Styela clava: one gene and its partner. The protein of the gene in region 2 purifies or fractionates together with the protein of the main gene of each other region. This does not show direct contact. Links are inferred from orthologs where the notes say so. Each region holds a gene or a part of one and is shown on either strand. Other genes may lie near its edges.

Region 1 (10,343 bases), on a different chromosome or scaffold from region 2:
TCAGTGCACTGAGTCATGGAAAACTGATGGGGATGGAATTATTATCCCATTTTCCAGTATTTTCTGGCATAAAGTTAAGAAGAGTCCTGAAAATCAGGCCAAAAAATAGGCACAAAAAATCTGCTCATTATTCAGGAAATACTGTATTTTTAATTAAGATCCAGATTTTCCAACTAACCATGTGCTTGAAATCCATTTTTTGATTATTTATGGCCCTTTTTAGAGTATTTCGCTTTAATCAAGGCTCTATAAGAGTAGCCACTGATATCTAACTTGCTACTATTATTTGGAGAACTGGAATCTTTCTTTTTTGACAGTATACGACAGATGGGTTGCCCACACAGTAAGTCTTAAGAACAGGTAGAGCACCGTCCAAAATATCAGTAATTTGACCTGGATATCTCCGAAAGATGTCTTCTCGTCGGCACCACCATATGTTGAAATAATGACATTGACGTTTTCAACAATTCGGCTGAATGTTTGATAAAGATCTTCTTTATCAAGCTGTAGTTCCAGAAGAGCTCTGTCCATCTTGTTCATGAAAACGATGGGCCTGATACGTTCAGCAATAGCTTGGCGAAGTACGGTCTCAGTTTGGACACAAACACCTGATAGTACAAAATATTTGCAATTGAAATCATGTCTAATGAAATACAACTTAAAAATTGAATGGTAACAATCTGCAGCAAATATTCTTGCATGATTTATGCTCATGAGCAGTAATAGAGCCAGTACTTACCGCTAACACAATCAACCACAACCAGTGCACCATCTGTAACGCGCAGAGCAGCTGTAACCTCCGATGAAAAGTCAACATGTCCTGGTGAATCAATCAAATTGATAAGAAAGCCATTACCATCTTTTTCACATTTGATATGTTGCATATCCTTTTCAGGCAGTTCATAAAAGAGAGAAATTGCACTGAAAAAAGAATCAATTTCAGTGCTTATTTTTATGAATGTAATTAAATATTTAATTTTTACTTACCGTATACAACAATATGTACCGGTAACCAATACTTAAAATCCAAACTTTTTTTACTCAATAATATCTATTTCAATATGGCTCCAATTCTAAGAATAACAACCATATTAACCTAATCCTCCCGGTCTGACGCATGCGCGACGTTTCAGACGTTTTGCAATGCTGTGTGTATACCATGAGGTCTGAAATGTTTGTTATGGTCTTGCTTGAAAGGAAATCTTATTCCCCACACAACGATATGAGAATGAACCTTATATGACATTTAGAAGTGATAAAATTTCGCTTACATATCACGCGTGTACTTCCCGCTGCGATATAAAAACGTCGCACAACAAGAAAATGATTCCATAAACCTTGGCGTTGCGCGCTAACCAATAACAAAAGCTAGTATGATAAGGTCTTATTTTGAAGGTCATTTTATATGCTACATAACATAGGAGAGTGGACATCTCACAACGTCAGGAAGTTATAAAAATATCGAGTCGTTTGATCGCAGCTGCCTCACCGAAAAAAAGTTAGGCGTTTTATCTCGCAAATTCTCCTTGTCTGACGATTATAAGCTTTTATGATTCATAATAAATGTTTTATTATGACTCACAAAAGCTTTCAACGCGATAAAGCACAATCAAACAACCGATCGATCTATCAAGCTTAGCCTGGCCTGATTCGATGTGGTGACTTCTCAAACGGAAAATTTCCAAAACGATTGAACGACGCGCGCTATGGAAAAGCGTTTAGTATCATATGAAAGAGAAAACCAATGTGCAGTCAACTGTATAGTCACATTTCAGCTTTACAATAGCTATAGACGTCCAACAGCTGATAGAATGAGAGAGTGTAAATATTTTTGTTATTTTTTGACGTTACGAGAGACCTCTTGAAAGAGGTGTTTTAGTTTACGGTCCTCCAGTGACATCTAGCGTATAGTACTCTAAAATACCTTTCCAATGGTATATAATTATTGTATATTGGGTGAATTTTGGGGGTCGTATCACGTATGACATTAATAAAAATGGGTATTCAAAATTGGGCTCGATTGGGCGTCTAAAACAGGTTAAAAGACATCAATTATAATAATGAATGCAAACCGAGATGATGTGGAGTCTTTATAACACCAAACCGGTACTGCCTAATAAACTATTACAGTACAGCACACTATCCAAATTTTAAGAATTTCCCTCCATTAGGCTCAATAAAACAAACACTCTATGTGTCTCACAAACGCGGGGCGTCTGGGACCTCGGCAGATGCTTCATATCGCGCCATGCTTGTCTCAATAATAATATAAATTGATCGCAGCAGTCACATGACCAAAATTGCTGTTTTTTGCTAAAAACTTCCGAAAGCTACGGTAAAAATTTTTTCCTTCGGTAAATCTGATTATTTTTTCCCAAGGAATTCAATGACGACGTTACTAGATTGCGCTTTTTTGTAGTATATTGCGCAACTTCATTATACTGTATTATTACTGATATTGAGGGACAACAATTCCAGACGTCTCCCAAAGGAGGGGTGTCTGATCATCTGTAAAATGGTTTCTCTGAAACGGGAAAATGTCACCCGATTTGTATAGTGTGCCGTACTGTAATAAGGACACACAATCTAAGTCTCCATAACACCAAACCGGTACTGCCTAATAAACTATTAAGGACGCACAATCTAGAAACATTCCCATGGATTCCCCCCAAAAAAATAATCTGAATTTACGCAAGGCAAAAAAAATTTACAGTATTTGAATTTTTTTAGCAAAAATCAGTCTGGAGGAATGGAAATTTTGGTCATGTGACAGCCAACATATGTCATGATTGACTTATCATCCAGTCATTTGCAGGACTAATTTTTTTCATGGATCTTGGAATTGTGCCCTACTGTATATTGAGAAATGTATTTGTTTTAAAGCTCACTTACGTTGACTTGATTGTAATGCATCTCTCCTGCTCATCCTTTCTCGTATCTGTAAAACGAGTTTCTCCAGCTTTCGCACCAGCAATGATACCAGCTTTGCTAACAAGGGAGTCTGTTAATGTAGATTTACCATGATCTACATGAGCAATAACAGACATGTTCCGAATATTGGCTTTTTTGTCCATGATCTCACGGATCTGATCGACTGTGAAGTTCACCTAAAAATAAAAATTATGTTTAACATCAGTCTACAGCAAAAGCGTGCAACAGGCCACCAAGCTATTTAGTGAGCCCTTTTGAACAACCTGATTTTTCCAAATCAAGTATATAATCCTAATCCGACAGTTTATATTAAAAAAGACACTCACAAAGGTAAAAATACACATACATATACTACCCTAAGACGGCGAGGCGTCCAGCAATCCTCTTGCACATTTTATCCTCCCAGGATTTAAACCGCCAAACCCACAAAGGGTATCAGAGGGGTGGTCTGGTGGTGATGACTGGGTGAGTGTATTCCCAACGCTTAGCACAGTAGCACGATGCGCCGGGTCTTACTACTTACTGAATAGAACACGAAACAGCGCAGAATGGATAGAAACATTTTACTTTCATTATTTATTAGCATCCGTGAAATTTTAAACAATTTGATGGGAAACGGTATACAGTGGTAGGGAATGATCACGAGTTTATGTCAGTAATCTTCAACATCTTTAAATAACCAAACATGATGCACCCTAACCTGGTACACATACTGTGTTCAGGTTGTGCGCCATCTTGGTGCACATACTTCATGACGCACCCTAACCTGGTACACATACTGTGTAAACTTGTGATCATTCCCTACTACTGTATGTTGCCTCCCATCAAATTGTTTAAAATTTCATAGACGCTAATAAATAATGAAAGAAAAAAGTTTCCATCTCTTCTGCGCTGTTTTGCGCTCTTTCCCTCTCTTCTGCGCTGTTTCGCTCTCTATTCAGTAAGTAGTAAGACCGCGATGCGCCACACTGCTGAGCCCAAATTACTAATACTATTATATTGAAGTATGACATTTCAGTGTCAATATCGGAGAGTCAACCTCCAACCTCAAATGGTGTTGAATCATATAAAACAATCTTTATTATTTTGTTACCAGTCACCATTGCCACTGACTGATTGAAGATTTAGATATCTACCCTGTTTTTACATAATATAGCAAAGGACTGGCATTTACAAAATAAATAAAAAATACGTAGATCGCTACATAGACTGGATGTCAGATTTTTCTGTCTAAATTGAAAAGTGGGTTCTTCCCGTTCAGGTTATAGGCTACCTTCGCAAGAGTTATATCCACTTAAATCACGCTCAACAAGCCATATTATTCGTTCATATTGCGCGAAATATATCGACAGACACATGATAGCTCAAAATTACATAAAAAAGGGAAGATAAACTCACCATTTTGGATGTTTTGACTTCGTTTCTTCACTCCGCGTAAAAAAATCAACCCTCGAACTGAAGGGCTTGGGAAAGGAACGTTATGAAATGACAAAGCTGTAACGCCAACCTATTACGTCATAGCACCACGAAACAATATTGCGAAATCCAACAGTAATTATTGCGTCCCTACACGGATGAAATAAGAGAGGAAGAGATATTATTTGTCGATCAGATCAAACAGTCATGATATAATAAGTAAAATGATAATAATAATAATGAAGCAAAAAAAATTCTCATTCTGGAATATCCCCATATATGAGTATAAGTTTATTTTGACTTCATAAATCAGCATAAAGGCGATGAAATAATTGATAAAAACAAAATAAATAAACTGATTACAGAATCGGAAAAACGAACAAACCCTTGAGCATGGTTTAAATAAAACGTACATATTTCAGATTAAAAGGTGATGCCAAAATAAGTGGTACGTGTTCGCTCACCCAAAAGTATCAGGTTATTAGACCTTATTAATTCGAAAACCATCCAACGCGCGAAAAACGAAAGTGGCATGAACAAAAAACGAACCAAAAACGATTTTAACATTAGCTCTCATGGGGAATGTGATCACCAGAGCAAAAATTTGCATTTTTTGTAATTTTCTAGTTATCTTTCATTGTAGACGTATGCAGTTTTGGGGATAGAATATATTTTATATACTTTTTGATATTTTTATCATGATAGACACAGTCAAGATTTTTGATAATCGTTCATTGAAATTTTCATGGTCGTGGTGTTTCTGCTGGCATCTTTCTCACCATACCATGCCATTCTGCCAACGCGTTGTGGTCTGTGAAATATGCGCTCCAACTGCTCGTGTTTCTTATTATTATAGGATAACAGAATACCGGGACCACAACATACCGTGTTTGGCGCTAAAGAAAGACCTATTTTAGTTAGTAAAGTTTAGCCGGAATGGCAGTCTGTTCACGTATTAAATCAAGTAGACAAAAAAAAACTAGGAAAAAGAGTAAAAAAAATATATTACTTGGTAAAAAAGAATATATTTATACAAATAAAATAAATTTCGCCCAACCATATTGATAGATTTGTATGAATTTTGAAATTGGATACCGAATTGGTTAACAGGAATGAAATGTATAAAACAATGTTCCTAAAACGATATCGCCAAGTTGATTATAGTTGGAGTCTCCTAACGCCAAATTCCCGAAAGGAATTGCCAAGTTGGATGCATGAAAAGGTGGACTAGACTCTAGACTAGATCACTTCATTCACCATAGCTAGAATATAGCCAGATTAGATTCTAGATTAAATTAAATACTACTAATCACCAAAAGTAATTATAATAGGGTGGTTCACGTAACCACTGGTCGATTACGGCATCCTCTTTTATCAAGTCCATGCTTCCGAAAACGAATAACTAACTAATCCCATACTCGACATGGAATGGTAACCGGACGAGAGGCCATGATTCGCCATATCGGCTTTCTTCTCACACGGGATAAATGTGTAAATTCTATCCAAATTTGGTCTGACCTGGACACGCCACTGCGCGTCGCTGAATCAAACGCTTTGATTGTACAACGCAATTAGGTATTGACTCGAGAATCTGCACACACTTTTCCCAAACAGACAAAGATGTCAAAGTTGAGTGTTAAACCTGCGTTTTTTATTCGTTTCCATTGGCTATGATATTGAATCAATTTTCAAATGAGCATAAAGCGCACCAATCTCTTGTATTTTCAACAACTTTTTAGTGGGAAGTCTTGTAAAATTCGAAACATCAGAGACTGAATGGGGAGGGAAGAACTATGCTGACGTCAACAAATTATACCCGCGGACAACAGATTAGATACTATTCCGTCAACATTTTCTTTACACTTAGAGCTTTAGTCCCACTAATCTTGCGCTTACATTTTTTATAATGCAGATTTATTTGCACAAAAGAATGTAACAATATTAAAACTAAACCATGCTTGGATCCGTCAATATTATCTTAGACATTGGGAACTGATATGCTCGCCCATGGTTCATCAAAGGGTACTTCCGAAGTATAAGAACCAAGATGGCGGACACCGGGACGTAGTATGTGTACCAGATTAGGGTTAGGTAGGTCATAATTTCATTCCAATTTTAGTTCTATCACGAGTTTGGGGACTAGCCAAGTGACTCCCGTAGTATTTGTACCTGAAATTATGACCTAACCCTAACCTGGTACACATACTGCGAGTACCATATTATGCAATATGTAGTATTGTTGTAGATAGCTTATTGCGTTGAAAACACATTAAATAAATAATTAAATAGCCTAATTTGTTACAATTACCGTAATAAAAATATGATTGCGGAAGATTCATGTGTACATGAGATGTGTCGCGGACCATAACGTCCGCGTTTATATTGTGTATATATATATTTCATGTTGTATTGACCCTTATTCAATGCTGTTTTGTCGGATCTGGACTCCGACTAATCACTACACGTGAGAGGAAAACTATGTCATTCGCTCTCTTTTCTCCGTTCTTCGGGCTGGAGGTCGGTCGTGTTTTTAGTTCTTTAGTGATGTAATCAGTTTATATGTTTCAAGTTTGATATTCTGAAGTTGCCGTACAATAAACAACCAATCCGGAACCCTTGAGTCTTTGATTCATCTACAACCACGGTAGCAACATCTTCGTCCGTGACAGATGCAAGCATGCAAGAGACCTGTATTCTCGCTAATACATATGAAAAAAAGAAAACTATGCTCAAATAAAGAGATGATGGTTGCGCATCGATACTGGTACCGCAAAGGCTGAAAACATCGAGTTTGCTGAAAAGATGTTGGCGAACAAGTTCACGCGATCGAGCATGTCAGAATAGTTGGGGCCAAAATTAGGGTGAAATAATCAGTTCCAGTCAACGACTAACATACCGTCCCAGTATAGCAGGGGGCGGCAAATTATGTCCCGCGGGCCAGATCCAGCGTGGAGTAAAATAATCCGGCCAGCGATGCTTCACTGAATTATAGTAACAAAACGGCTATTTTGACGATTATATTTTTTATAATATCATATTCTTCATATTCGATGCAAGTGCAAAGGGTGAATGAAACTTTCTGAATCTAACTTTCTAACTATCCAAATTTGACAAAAGTCCACATCGATGTTTAGAAGTACATATGCGTGCAAAAAATTATTTTCGAAAATGAACATTACAAAGAACAAGCTGAGAACTCGGATTAATGATTCCCATTCAGAAATTGTTTTAATCCTGGCTTCATCCAGTGTGCCGCCAGAAAAAAAGAGTGATATTAAATGTCATTTGTAAATTTTTTTCTTCAAGTAAGAGGACTAAGTCAGCCATCCGTTCTTGTTAACTTTCGAAAAATTATGCGGCCCGCCAAGACTTGCAACCCTTAATTTTGGCACGCGAGCGACAAAAGGTTGCCGACTCCTGAACCAGCAACTTCTTTCTTTTTACAAAGTTCTGAAGATTTGAAATTGATTAGCCAACTAGTTGCAAAAAAAAGTTAATATTTCGAACAACCACAGTCACCCCGACAACATCAAGATTTGAGCAAAACAATATCAGACTTTGCCTTCAGTATTAACTTGAGGGAATAACACGCAGGAGACACCAGTTACAAACTATTAACATAGAATTGAATCGTTAGCCAAGCCTTTTATGTGAGGGAAATTAACCATGGGTTACCAGCTATATAATAATTAAATGAGCCGTTTAACAAGGAAGATGAGTACTTCGAATCAAAACTGATCGTTGTTCAGAACAAGCGAGCTATGCTCAAATATATGAACACGTTTACCATCCCAAGAAAAGCACCAACATTCAAAGACTTCAGGTATAACAGTGACTGCAAGCCACGCTTTTACGAGACAGTTACGAGTTAGTTCAGTATCACCGCGCTGTGTTACGGTACCGGAACTGCTCTATCTTTAAAAGTTCCTGTCTTGTGACAGCGTGAATTGAAATTGCAAGCTGGTCCGAGACTGTAGTAACACCAACGATACGAGTCACTACTGTTATATAACACCAAGTACGGCACTATTCGCCATTCACCTTTCCTCAAATATTAGCAAAGCAATGATTTCGTTACGAACCACCGACGTTCGATGGTACGTGATCAAAAGAACATGAAGAGGAGTGCCAGCATATGCGTCCGCAGAACGTTCGGTGACTTCATAGCAAACAAAAACAAATCTCACAGAGCTAACAGAAATATTTAGAATAAATAAAAGTAATAGCCTTCTGAAGAAAAATTTCATCTTTAACCACTAAAAATTTCAAAACAATTGGTTCAGTAATCAAAGAGAAAAGCGACTTTTTAGGTTTTCCACTAGGTGTCCAAAAAGTGTCAGAGAACAACAACATAATATTGAAACGATCGTTATGTCCACTAACGTGTCCAAAAAGATTTTATAAATGTGTGATTATGTCTTGAATACTCTTAATTCAATCAAATGGTACAGGTTAGCTCTTTAGTGAAGAGGATAAAAACCCGCAGCAAGACTAATATGCAGTATGACACGGCAATATTGCTAATATAAAAATGCACGGGGCAAGTTATAAATAGCATACCGAATCGAAAACAAGAAAGAACCTTTTTCAGATTTAGCATATTTTTGAACGTGGAAGTACCTAAAAATTTTCATGAACAAATTCCAATTTGGAAAAAAAATTAGAATAAAATCGAGATACTGATAAGATCAAGAGTTATATAAATATAACCTGAACTAGTCAATAAATTAGAATTCAACAGAAGCAAATTCATTTGGTTATTTAAAAGAGATCTATGATAATGAGACAAGATTGGATCACGGTGAGTATGGCGTAGGTCAATTTTTTCGTTGTTGAAATATTAATGTGATTCAGGCTAACAAAGAAAGAAATGGAAATCATACAACTTAATAGAATTTAAAAATTAACCATAAAAAACGCCTGTCTGATAATTTATTTCTTTACAATATCCATATGAACTGGGATAATGTGATTCAAACCAACCAGAATTCTTCAACTTTCAACAGCGTTAATTAATAAATCTAATTTGCTACAAACTTAGTGGGCCTGATGGTCTAGCAGTATAAGCGTTAAACTTAACTTGCTGACATCGAAGGCTACACATCTCAGATTTTAAGTTCTCCCCTCGGCACCTCACTTATGTCATAAAAAGCCAATGCCAAGCCATAAATATTTCGCTTCCTCCAAAAATAGTAGCTCAACATACCGGTAGATGTTTGTACAGTGGCTTCTTCGGAACTAACGGAATAATGAAGCGATGTATAAAAAAAAAACATGCTGAATAATTTTTTTTTTAATTTCAGATGTTACGGATTTTGATGTTTCTCTGCTTTACTGTAGGATTGGCATCGGGGAACAAGATATATCACTTCAATCCCCCCAGCCCATCAACACCTTACTATTATCCAGGCACTAAAGTTCCAGTGCACCCACCTCCATATGACCAGAAGCTTTTTAGAAAAAAAGAATTTTTGGTGAGTTTCATTGAAAACAATTCACAAAAATCTCTATTCTGACAACAATTTCATTTTTAAAATACTTTTTTTTTTCAGAATGTGCCATTAACTATGGCTTTATGCAGAAAATACAATGAGCTACGAAGACTCAAACCATGTGCAAGAGCAATACAGAACATGCAAAGAGGAATACTACCCAGTTGCCCGTTATCTGATAACAACAGATGGCCGTCGAATACAAGTAAAATCATTATAAATTTATATCATACTTGAAATGATAAGAAAACTACATATCACAACTGCCTTATTATGACAGCATTTCGAGGTCACCTAGACATCTTGATATTGGCATACTTTATTTAGAGATAGTACCAAATGTTTTATTCTTTAATAATAAATGACATTAGTAATATTTTACACTAAAATTTATACCAAATCTCAAAGTTGGATCCGGTGTCAAAGTTTCAAAAGTCAAAATCTCAAGTTTAAGCATTCGAAAATATAAAAGCGAACATAAAATTTCAACAGAAATTTGTAAAT
Region 2 (9,296 bases):
TATCTTTGCCAAATTCTCGAACAATATCTTCTGGTAAACAATTGTCGAGACTCAAGACTTTATCCAATGTGCCTCCTGTTAAAAATGTAATATTAACTGAAACCAAAGGTATTTATTTCACTCAGGTAAGAATAGAAATGCCTCTTTTAATAGTAATTTATGATATGGTTATCAAAGCATTGAAACAAAAATTCAATTATAGTGAAATCAATTGAGAAGACAATTCAGTGCACCTTTGTCAATCGGTGAGTCGGCCTTAAACCCTTTCGCGACTTGAATGTTACAATACATATACAAGTACATCAACCTAAACTGAACCAACCCATTTAAAAATTTCCTGTCTGAGAGCACCTAAGAGGTTAGCATTTTTTACAAATTTTGATATGGGTTGCTATAGAAGTCGATACTGAATTTTTCACTATCTAAATGTGTAATGAAAATTGACTATAATATAGCCAAAGCTGAAGAAAAACTTCAAAAAGAGAACGGGTGCAAAAATCTTGAGTTGAACATGCAATGCAGAATCGGAAGATGGTGGATTTTTTGTAAATATAGATACCGTAAATATTTTAACCTCAAGAAAGAAGATTATCGATGGGAGATCCTACAAGCAAAAGTACATAATCATAGAAAACCATCTATAAAAGGTTTAAAAATTACCATTTGGCTGTCACCAAATATATAGCATCACTGCACAAAGTGCCATACATACCTGTACATAATTCAACTACCATCCATAGATGATTGCTTGTTTCGTACCATTCATAGAATTTCACAATATGTTCATGCTCAAGTTCATGCGTAAGACGAACCTGAAATCAATGTCATTTCAGTATAAAATAGAATTATCTCTATATTTAGATAACAAACAATATATTTGTGAGTCGTTGGACAAGGATTTTTCTTGAGATGCTCCCGAATGGCTAGACTCTGTATAACTAAGAATAGAAGGTCAGAGAACCAGGATTCCACTTCCCAACATATAAATAAAGTTTTTAGAATCATCAATGTATAATTTTATTAAAATTGATCAAGATATTGGGCACAATGGTCATAAGCAGTGGTTCTCAAACAATGGGGTCCTTCCAACAAAGTGGGTATAGACAATATTTTGAGAGGTCGTAAAGCTAATTAAAAATAAAAACCTTCGTTAGATTTGATCTTATATCCTCCCTATTTCGGATAATTACATTCCATCATTGTACGATGAAGTGTTTTTTGAATAAAACATACTACCGCCTTACTATCTGCTATTTGTAGCCTATTGTTAGCTAGTTATTTTTGAGGTGGAGAGCGAGACTTGACAAATTTTGAGGCGGGAAACGAGACTTGACAAATTCTAAAAAGGAGGTGCGGATTAAAAAGATTGAGAAGCACTGGTATGAGGAATTACGGTAGGTGCGCACTAGAGTAGACTTAACCTCGCTCATGATATAAGAAATTGGGTTGACAATGCAAAACCGAAATATTCTGGTTATTCAAAAAGTAGTCCCTTCATGATTAGATTGGGCCTCCTTGTTGGAAGTAAATGAGCATCATGAAAAAAAACACTAATTTAAATAAGAAATTGTTTTTTGCATACGAAAGAGCTAAATTGGGTGGAAAGATATAGAGTGATTATGTTAATAATACCAGGATTTGGAATTTTAAGAACAACAATTTGTGATTGTAAAACATTATTTATTGACCAGTACCAATATATGTTCTACATCCAACAAGGCCTATCAGATTTATAAGCACCCCTTAGCTAAAACTAAAATGACATTGATTATTAATTCATCAAATCTTACCCAATTCGTGATGGCTCCTCTTTTGCACTTTTCTATACAGAGAATTGCCAAAAAATTTATTGTTCCTTTTCTTCGCCCTTTATATACAACAGAGTGAGAACCTTTTCCTATTTCTTCATAGAGAATGAAATTTTCCATTTTTGTTATGATTATGCTTATTTAATTAGGGCTAGAAATAGAATTCCAGCATAATCATTGGAACAAAACAAAAAAAAATCCTGGCCCTTCCAAACTATAGTAACTCCTCGCATTTTATCAAAAGAATAAAAAATAGTTACCACTGTGAAAACTTATAAAACAGGGGCTCTCAAACTATTTTTAACATGGACCCATAATTGTGTGAACCCCTTGTCAATAGTACAGTACAAAATGCATAAACATGACGAGAAATGAATAGAGAATAGAACTTTTATGCCAGATCCCAAATTGAAGGGCTAAAATGGGTGAAATCAAGCGACAAGGAAAAAAATCAGTTCTTCTTTAATTAAGGAAGATTTTTCCATTCATTTCATTTATAACATTTTCACTGATTTTTCACAAACCCCTCAAATTTCCCGGACCTCTTGGGGGTACACGGACCCCAGTTTTTGAGAACCCCTGTTATAAAACATGATAAAATTTTCAACCAATTGATGTGCAAATACAATACTATGTTTCAATTAAATTAGTACAGTATATAAGTATTAAAACCATTATGTGTTTCTTTTTATGAATGACTTTGATAAATGACAAATGTCATATATTAAAGTCTTAATACAATTTTTAAAAGCTTAACATCAGAGCTTCCATCAAAATAGAAAACTTTGAAAACATTCAATGGCATTTCTATACAATCTAAACCATATTTATCTAACTCATGTAAGAATAATTCAAAAGTTGATGGGTTTCTAACAGTAATAGAAAAACAGGCAAAGGGATAATCAGTAACTTTTTTATTGTGATCATTCAAAGCTGTAGAATGCCTTAAGACTGAACGTACAGTTTTTACTAGATGATTCAATATTGCGGGATCGAAAACAACATCAGCGGCAAAAACAATATCAAATGGACCATTTTCCTTTATTAGAGCATCTGTATCATCAGAATCAGTCCAGTCCAAAGATTTTACGGATATATTATCAATATCAAAAAGCTTCAAATTGTCTATTTCGCTTGGATTTTTTTCTGTAAACGAATCACAAAATTTTGCATCAAAATTCATTTTCACATTGTGGCATAATAATGACATAACTTCACTGTGATAGTCTGTGAATGTATATGACAATGGTTGACAAGTTTTCAGTGTCATTATACCAGAGAATCCAGCCCCACATCCCAACTCTAAAATCTTTTTGTTTTTAATTAAACCAGGGTTACACAAACACCACTCAGCGAGTACTTTAGCACCTTGCCAGGTATTGAGACCTGTGGTTCCATTTGATAATAAATTTCTGCTTTCCAAAATCGGCACAAATTTACATATCCCAGGAATATAATATATTTTATATGAATATGGTGTATTTTCCATACTGAGTAGTGATACATAATGCTGGCATAGACTTTCAGAAACAACTTGATTTCTATCTTCAATCTCTTTGATGAACTTTTTGCAAAAAGACCGCTGGTACAGAACACCGACAGAATATTTTTTACATAAAGGATGAAATATGGTTTTGTTTAATATTTCATTTTGTTTTTCTTCTTCTACGAAATCAACAATAAATTGCCATGGCAATTCCCGGATAGCCACCCCACACAGGAATTGTATAGTCACTGTATGAATTGAAATCCTGGTCTCGACTTCAATTATAAATTCATTACCAGAGGTCATTGTACTATGAATAATTTTTCAATTAGATAAATCTGTAAACACAAACAAAGATGGTCAGTTATGCTTAGTATGTCTGTATGGGCTATTCCAAGTGACACTACGGGACAATTCCAGAAATTTTGCAAGTTGTTAGATTCAATATATTTTCACATTTTCAGCTACATGTTTTGTTTCATTGTCCAATCAATTGCTTTATTGAATATGTAAAAAATTGCACAAAAGTTACACCCAACCTTACTTAGTAGATAAAAAAAATATAGTAAAATATAGCGTGACACTACAGGACGGCAAATCCACCATGCACTAACAGTACAGCAGTATGTTGTGTTGTGCTGTAAATTTTTGCGATGGTACAGTAGGAGCCCATAATATTTTCTGGTGCAGTAGCTGAACTACCCCTCTATGTGTTGCTCAAGTTACTTAATGTAACACTGTAAATCCATGCCAATAATGTGCATATTGTATGTGACACTACCAGACTACAGGACGTGACACTACATGACATTTTTCCACTTCGGAATAGCGGCATCTATCATCTCTTAAAATTCTGGTAATAAATCGTTAAATGGGTGAAGAAATGTTCTACAGCACTGCAAACATTTAAAATTAACTTAAATCCAGTGCGTCAATTCCATATGAAATAACTGTAACACACAATCAAACCTTTTGTGCCAGGAATCATCACAAAAATATGTCAATTACACCAAAATTTCTACATTTCAGACCATTTTTTAAAAACCATCAAAAACCTGGGTGAAATTTTAAATTGTTCGATGAAATGAATGCAATCCAATAACACACCAATGTCTTTTGATACCAAAAATAAAAAGATTACTTTCATTACACTTTTTAAAAACTTGATGGAATTCAACTTCTGCTTAGAATGGGAGGCACAGTTCTTACCACTTCATGGCAGCTCCTGCCTTGAACGAACCGCGGCAGCTCTTGCCATGGTTTTATAGCGCTATTCAGTAATCGGTATTAACGGTATATTCACAAATTAATGTACCAGATTTTAATTGATCATGTGGAATTATATATACTATAAACCTTAACCCTAACCCCAAATCAATCAAAACTGTATCCATAAGAAAAACGTTCCAACTTGCCCAATATTTGTCACCATAATAGACAGCCCTGTCTTTACGGCCCACCTGCCGCGGTTACGGCAGCAAAATTTTACCTGCCATTGGTTTTCAATTTGCTGCCGCGGTAACGGCAGCCCGACATTGGTTTGTGGCAGCTAAAAGTCAGTTGCCATGAGTTTGGCCGTAACGGCCATGGTATGGAAATACCGCCATGGTTTTGCGGCAGTTGCAGATGCCACAGAATACTTAAAACTGCACTTGTGGAATGGCCCATGAGGTTTTGTACTCTGGCATTTGGAGAAATTCACAAGCGACTTTTAGAAGAAAAAAGCCTATACCTCAGTTTGATAGAAATTTCGGCGCTCTAGAAGTATGTGTACCAGTATGGAGGTAACTAATTTTGTCCATTTATTTTACATCAAGTTGTGTGAAGGGACTGAAACCTATGGGCAGGAGGATATTCACTTCGCTAACACACTGACACAGACAGTCCCCGAACTTGTAATAGAACTAAAATAAGAAAAATCGAAATAAAATTATGGCCTAACCCTAAACTGGTACACATACTACGGTACGTGAGTACCGAAATTTCACCAGTCCCAAGCTATTTATAACAAAAAGCCGATACAGAAACATGATTTATTTACCCATACCATGTGTAGTTTATGCAATGAACATGTATCATATTTGAAGATTCAATCCAATGGTTGTCATTCAACATGTATATCAAATATTAATAATTATCAGCTTCTTCCATCCTGGATAAAAGCCATCGCAAGCCCGCAAAAATCCAACTGGACTATTTATGAATCGAAAGTCAAACTGTTTTTCTTTTTCATACTAAAATTTGGGGATTCCCCTTGAAATCTGAGCTCTGTAATGCCTCAGGTGGCACCTTTTTTGGCAAATTGAAATCCAGTGCCAATATGGAATTTATTATTTTTGCTAAATTCCGCAGACCACTATATGAAAAATGTATTTCATTCTATAATTAGTATATCTTTGCTAGGTGTCAATAGTACGGTACTTCACTGTCACAGAGTTTCCGTCACAACTCATCTGAGACAAATCTACACTCATGAGTAGTTTTAGATCGCGCTGAAACTCCCAAGATATAAGTTTTTCAAGTTGACAGTTGGCAAACATGAAAATCCTATCCCACAAAAGGTTTCGTGACACGGATTCTCTGGCAGAGACAGTTTGTTCACGCTCACTTCAATGACTTTCAATTTGCTCTGTTTAGACGTCTGACGCTGTCAATTTAACGATAGTGTGTTTGGTGCGCAAGCGTTTTTTGCACATCACTGTTCGAGGTGCTCCCGAAGTATGTGAACCAAGATGGCGGTAAATTTCATGTACAAATATTACGAGAGTCACTTGGCTAGTTTCCGAACTCGTAATAGAACTAAAGTAAGGAAAATTGGAATATAATTATGGCCTAACCCCAACACCACGTCCCGGTTTCCGCCATCTTGGTTCACATACTTCGGGAGTACCCTGTTCGAAAACTAATCGACATGTGTCAAATTTTTCAGATTGTAAATATTTCCCTTGTTTTTTTTTCTTCGGGGGAGGAATGCGATAAGATGGCTAAATTAAAGGGCGAATCACGGCCTCTCGTCCGGTTACCAGTCCATGTCGGGTATGGGATTAGTTAGTTACCTATTTGTCTTGCCTCCCTGCAAAGATAAAACGCAGACAAATATAAAAAAAATATTAGATTTGTAATTTTATATAAGTATCAGTTTTTTTCGACCTTGTAATCAGCATAGAAGACCATAAAATAATTGATAAAAACAAAATAAGTAAAATTGATTACAAGGAAAACTGATTTTAAATTGCAAGGTGTTGTCCAAAGAAGTGGTACTTGTTCGCTCACCCAAAAGTATTTAATCACGAAGACTGAATAAAATTGTGAGAGAGCAAAATAATATAACATGAGATACATTACTTGGTAAAAAATTAAACAGGATAAAAAATTTTGTCACACCATATTGAAACATTTTTAGGGATTCACTCAACAGGAGTGAAATGTATAAAGAAATATTTCTAAAAAGATATCACTAAGCTTATCATAGTTGAAGTCTCCTAATGCCAAATTGCCCAATCAGAATTGCCAAGTTGGGTGCATGAAGAGGTGGGCTAAACCGCTTCACTCACCAAAGCCAGAATATGGCCAAATTACAGTCCAGATTAAATCAAATCTGCCTAATCAGTACAAGTAATTATAAATAAAAATTGATCAAAGCATTATGTTTCTACTGAATTCAGTAAAATAGAACATTTTAACAGGAAGTGGGGTGCGAGTTTGCTCATATACGAAGTTTTATAGATAACTTAATGAGATCTTGTACCATTCAGGCAAAAACTCGTGTTTTGTTGGCAAATTGTAACGTGTACATATAACTTTATCCCCCTTGGCCCTCCAAGAAAATAGAAATACACATTTTTCATCTTCTTGTACACCACTATAAACATTTTTAACAAAATCAAAAAAATTGTTCAAAAAGTCAAGACAGACATTTGCATCCCAAGCACCGTGAGGAACTTGCCGTGCCATCCTCGGTAAATCCAATGTTTTGAAATGACGAATACTAACTATAACGCCATTGTCATCCCTGAAACCACATGTAATCTGGGGCACACCAGCTAGAAATGACTGTGCCCACCATTTTTTTGTTTTGTACCTATGAAAATTGTCTTCATGTTTTTGAGTAGAAAACTCTCTGCTGGTTTTCAACTCAATATAATTATCTGGCGGTGTTAAACCCTCAGAAGGATTTTGGCAGCAGTCCACTTCAGCACTATGAATAATTTTATGAGAATTCAATTGCACATTCATTACTGTACAATAAGCCTCATTCGTGTTTACCACAATCTTCGACTGATCGATGGGTACTAATCGTGGACATTTTGCTTCATTTCTATTATGTGGAGGATCTGGTCGGGTCATGTACTTTTCGAAACGAACACCCCAATAGGTCATCAACTTTTCTCTGTCAGTGCTGTTCGAACGTCTTTTTTCTGCTTGCAGAGTTTCAACTTCGCTGATATAAATTGTTGAACCTAGTTTTTGTGCAGCCATCTCCCAGCCTTCTTGGTATTCATAAGGCGTGCACATAATTTTTGTCATATGCCCTCTCCACAATATAAAATCTGGTAAAGCAGCCAATGAAGAACTTTTACTTTCTTTAGTTGTATTGCCATTTTTGAAACGATGAAGGTTGGAAACCACCCATCTCAACAGATTGTCAAGTCGCTCTTTTACATTTTCATCTCTTTTCACAAATCGGTCTTTGTAACCATCATTTAGATCCATATTTTTACACCATCTCGAAGTATCTTCAACATAAGACATCTGGCTGAGATTATTGCAAAATTTGCGTTGGCCATCAATTGAGAACACTCCAATTTCCACAGGTTTTGAGAATGTTACATGTTTAGGTTTTTTTGAATGGGATGAATATCCACTAATATCTAGAGTTTTGAATTCTGAATCCTTTGACATTCCAATATTGGATGAAAATAATATTTAAGGATAATTTTCTAAGTTGTAAATATGAAAATTAGACATGGTCACTTGAAAACAACATGGCCGATGGAGCATAAAAATCTCCACTGTAAGATTGTTTGGCTGAGTATAAATTAGCATATAAAACATTAGCTGAATTTCCAAGTCTAATAAACTACTAAATTTTTGCAGTAAAAAAAAAACACCATCGTAAATGCCAAATGCTGAATTACATCATTCAAATAAAATTGAACAGGAAATTCAATACAAGCATAGATAAATTTATGGCAAGAATGAAAAAATAGCACAATACTGATTTACAATATATTGTAAAATTCTAGAATTGAAGTCAGATCATGAATCATGGGAAAAATTGTTACATATACAATGTATGATCAAAACATAACAATTCGGCTGGATATAATTACAAAACAAGTTATTAAGTACCCGGTATACTGGTATATGTAGAATAAACCGCAATCAGTTGGTCAATTGTATCTGATTCACTTTAAATCATTTATCTTCTTTTTATGTTCGCTGCACCAGTTCTATAAATTTGTCACATATGAAGAAGTATATCTTTAATTCTCCTTGGTTTTTTATTTTCTATAAGTCAGCCATATAAATCCCTTAAGTATCTGTTTGATCAGGATTATCTTCGCTTCTTTGTTTCCAATCTTTTTCGTTTAACTTTTGTGATATTTGATTTGACGTTCATTTGTTGATGAGAGGAAGGCATATCTCTTTCATCAACTGTCATGTTATTTGATGGTTCATCGTCATTAATAAAAATTACAGCAAGTATGCAAAGTAGCTGAAATATTCCACCAACATACAGCATATATCGCAGCACAACCTCAAATGTAGACTCTTGAGGAATTAAAGAATAAACATCTATATTCTCCATAATTGAAGGAGCATTATCTGTTATAACAGTATACAGGTATAAGCTGTGAATAGGTAAAATAAATTGATAACTAACCTAAACACATACCGGTAGACTATACAAGTAAATCCAGAGTGAAGTTTAAAAGAATTCAGATTGCAGTTGCGAGAGATAATGCTGTAATGCTTCATTTCCGAATATTTCATTAAAT

What was found.
Region 1: the proteins of protein-lysine N-methyltransferase EEF2KMT-like (region 2) and elongation factor 2-like purify together in Homo sapiens (affinity purification with mass spectrometry; 3 studies listed by BioGRID and IntAct, counting the BioPlex papers as one, with this or other methods). This does not show direct contact. The link is inferred for Styela clava from reciprocal best matches to the Homo sapiens genes EEF2KMT and EEF2.

Annotation. Positions count from the first base shown.
Region 1 is NC_135257.1:16,651,472-16,661,814, forward strand, and holds the start of elongation factor 2-like, read right to left. Parts: upstream 4,482-10,343; 5' UTR 4,333-4,481; coding exon 4,330-4,332; intron 3,108-4,329; coding exon 2,893-3,107; intron 922-2,892; coding exon 740-921; intron 609-739; coding exon 394-608; intron 1-393. Other genes in the region: uncharacterized protein LOC144411684, read left to right, coding at 9,666-9,821, 9,900-10,044. UniProt on the Homo sapiens protein: Catalyzes the GTP-dependent ribosomal translocation step during translation elongation.
Region 2 is NC_135261.1:17,577,535-17,586,830, reverse strand, and holds protein-lysine N-methyltransferase EEF2KMT-like, read right to left. Parts: upstream 3,636-9,296; 5' UTR 3,601-3,635; coding exon 2,533-3,600; 3' UTR 1,960-2,532; downstream 1-1,959. Other genes in the region: serine/threonine-protein kinase ULK4-like, read right to left, coding at 1-75, 713-812, 1,791-1,928; decapping and exoribonuclease protein-like, read right to left, coding at 7,015-8,196. UniProt on the Homo sapiens protein: Catalyzes the trimethylation of eukaryotic elongation factor 2 (EEF2) on 'Lys-525'.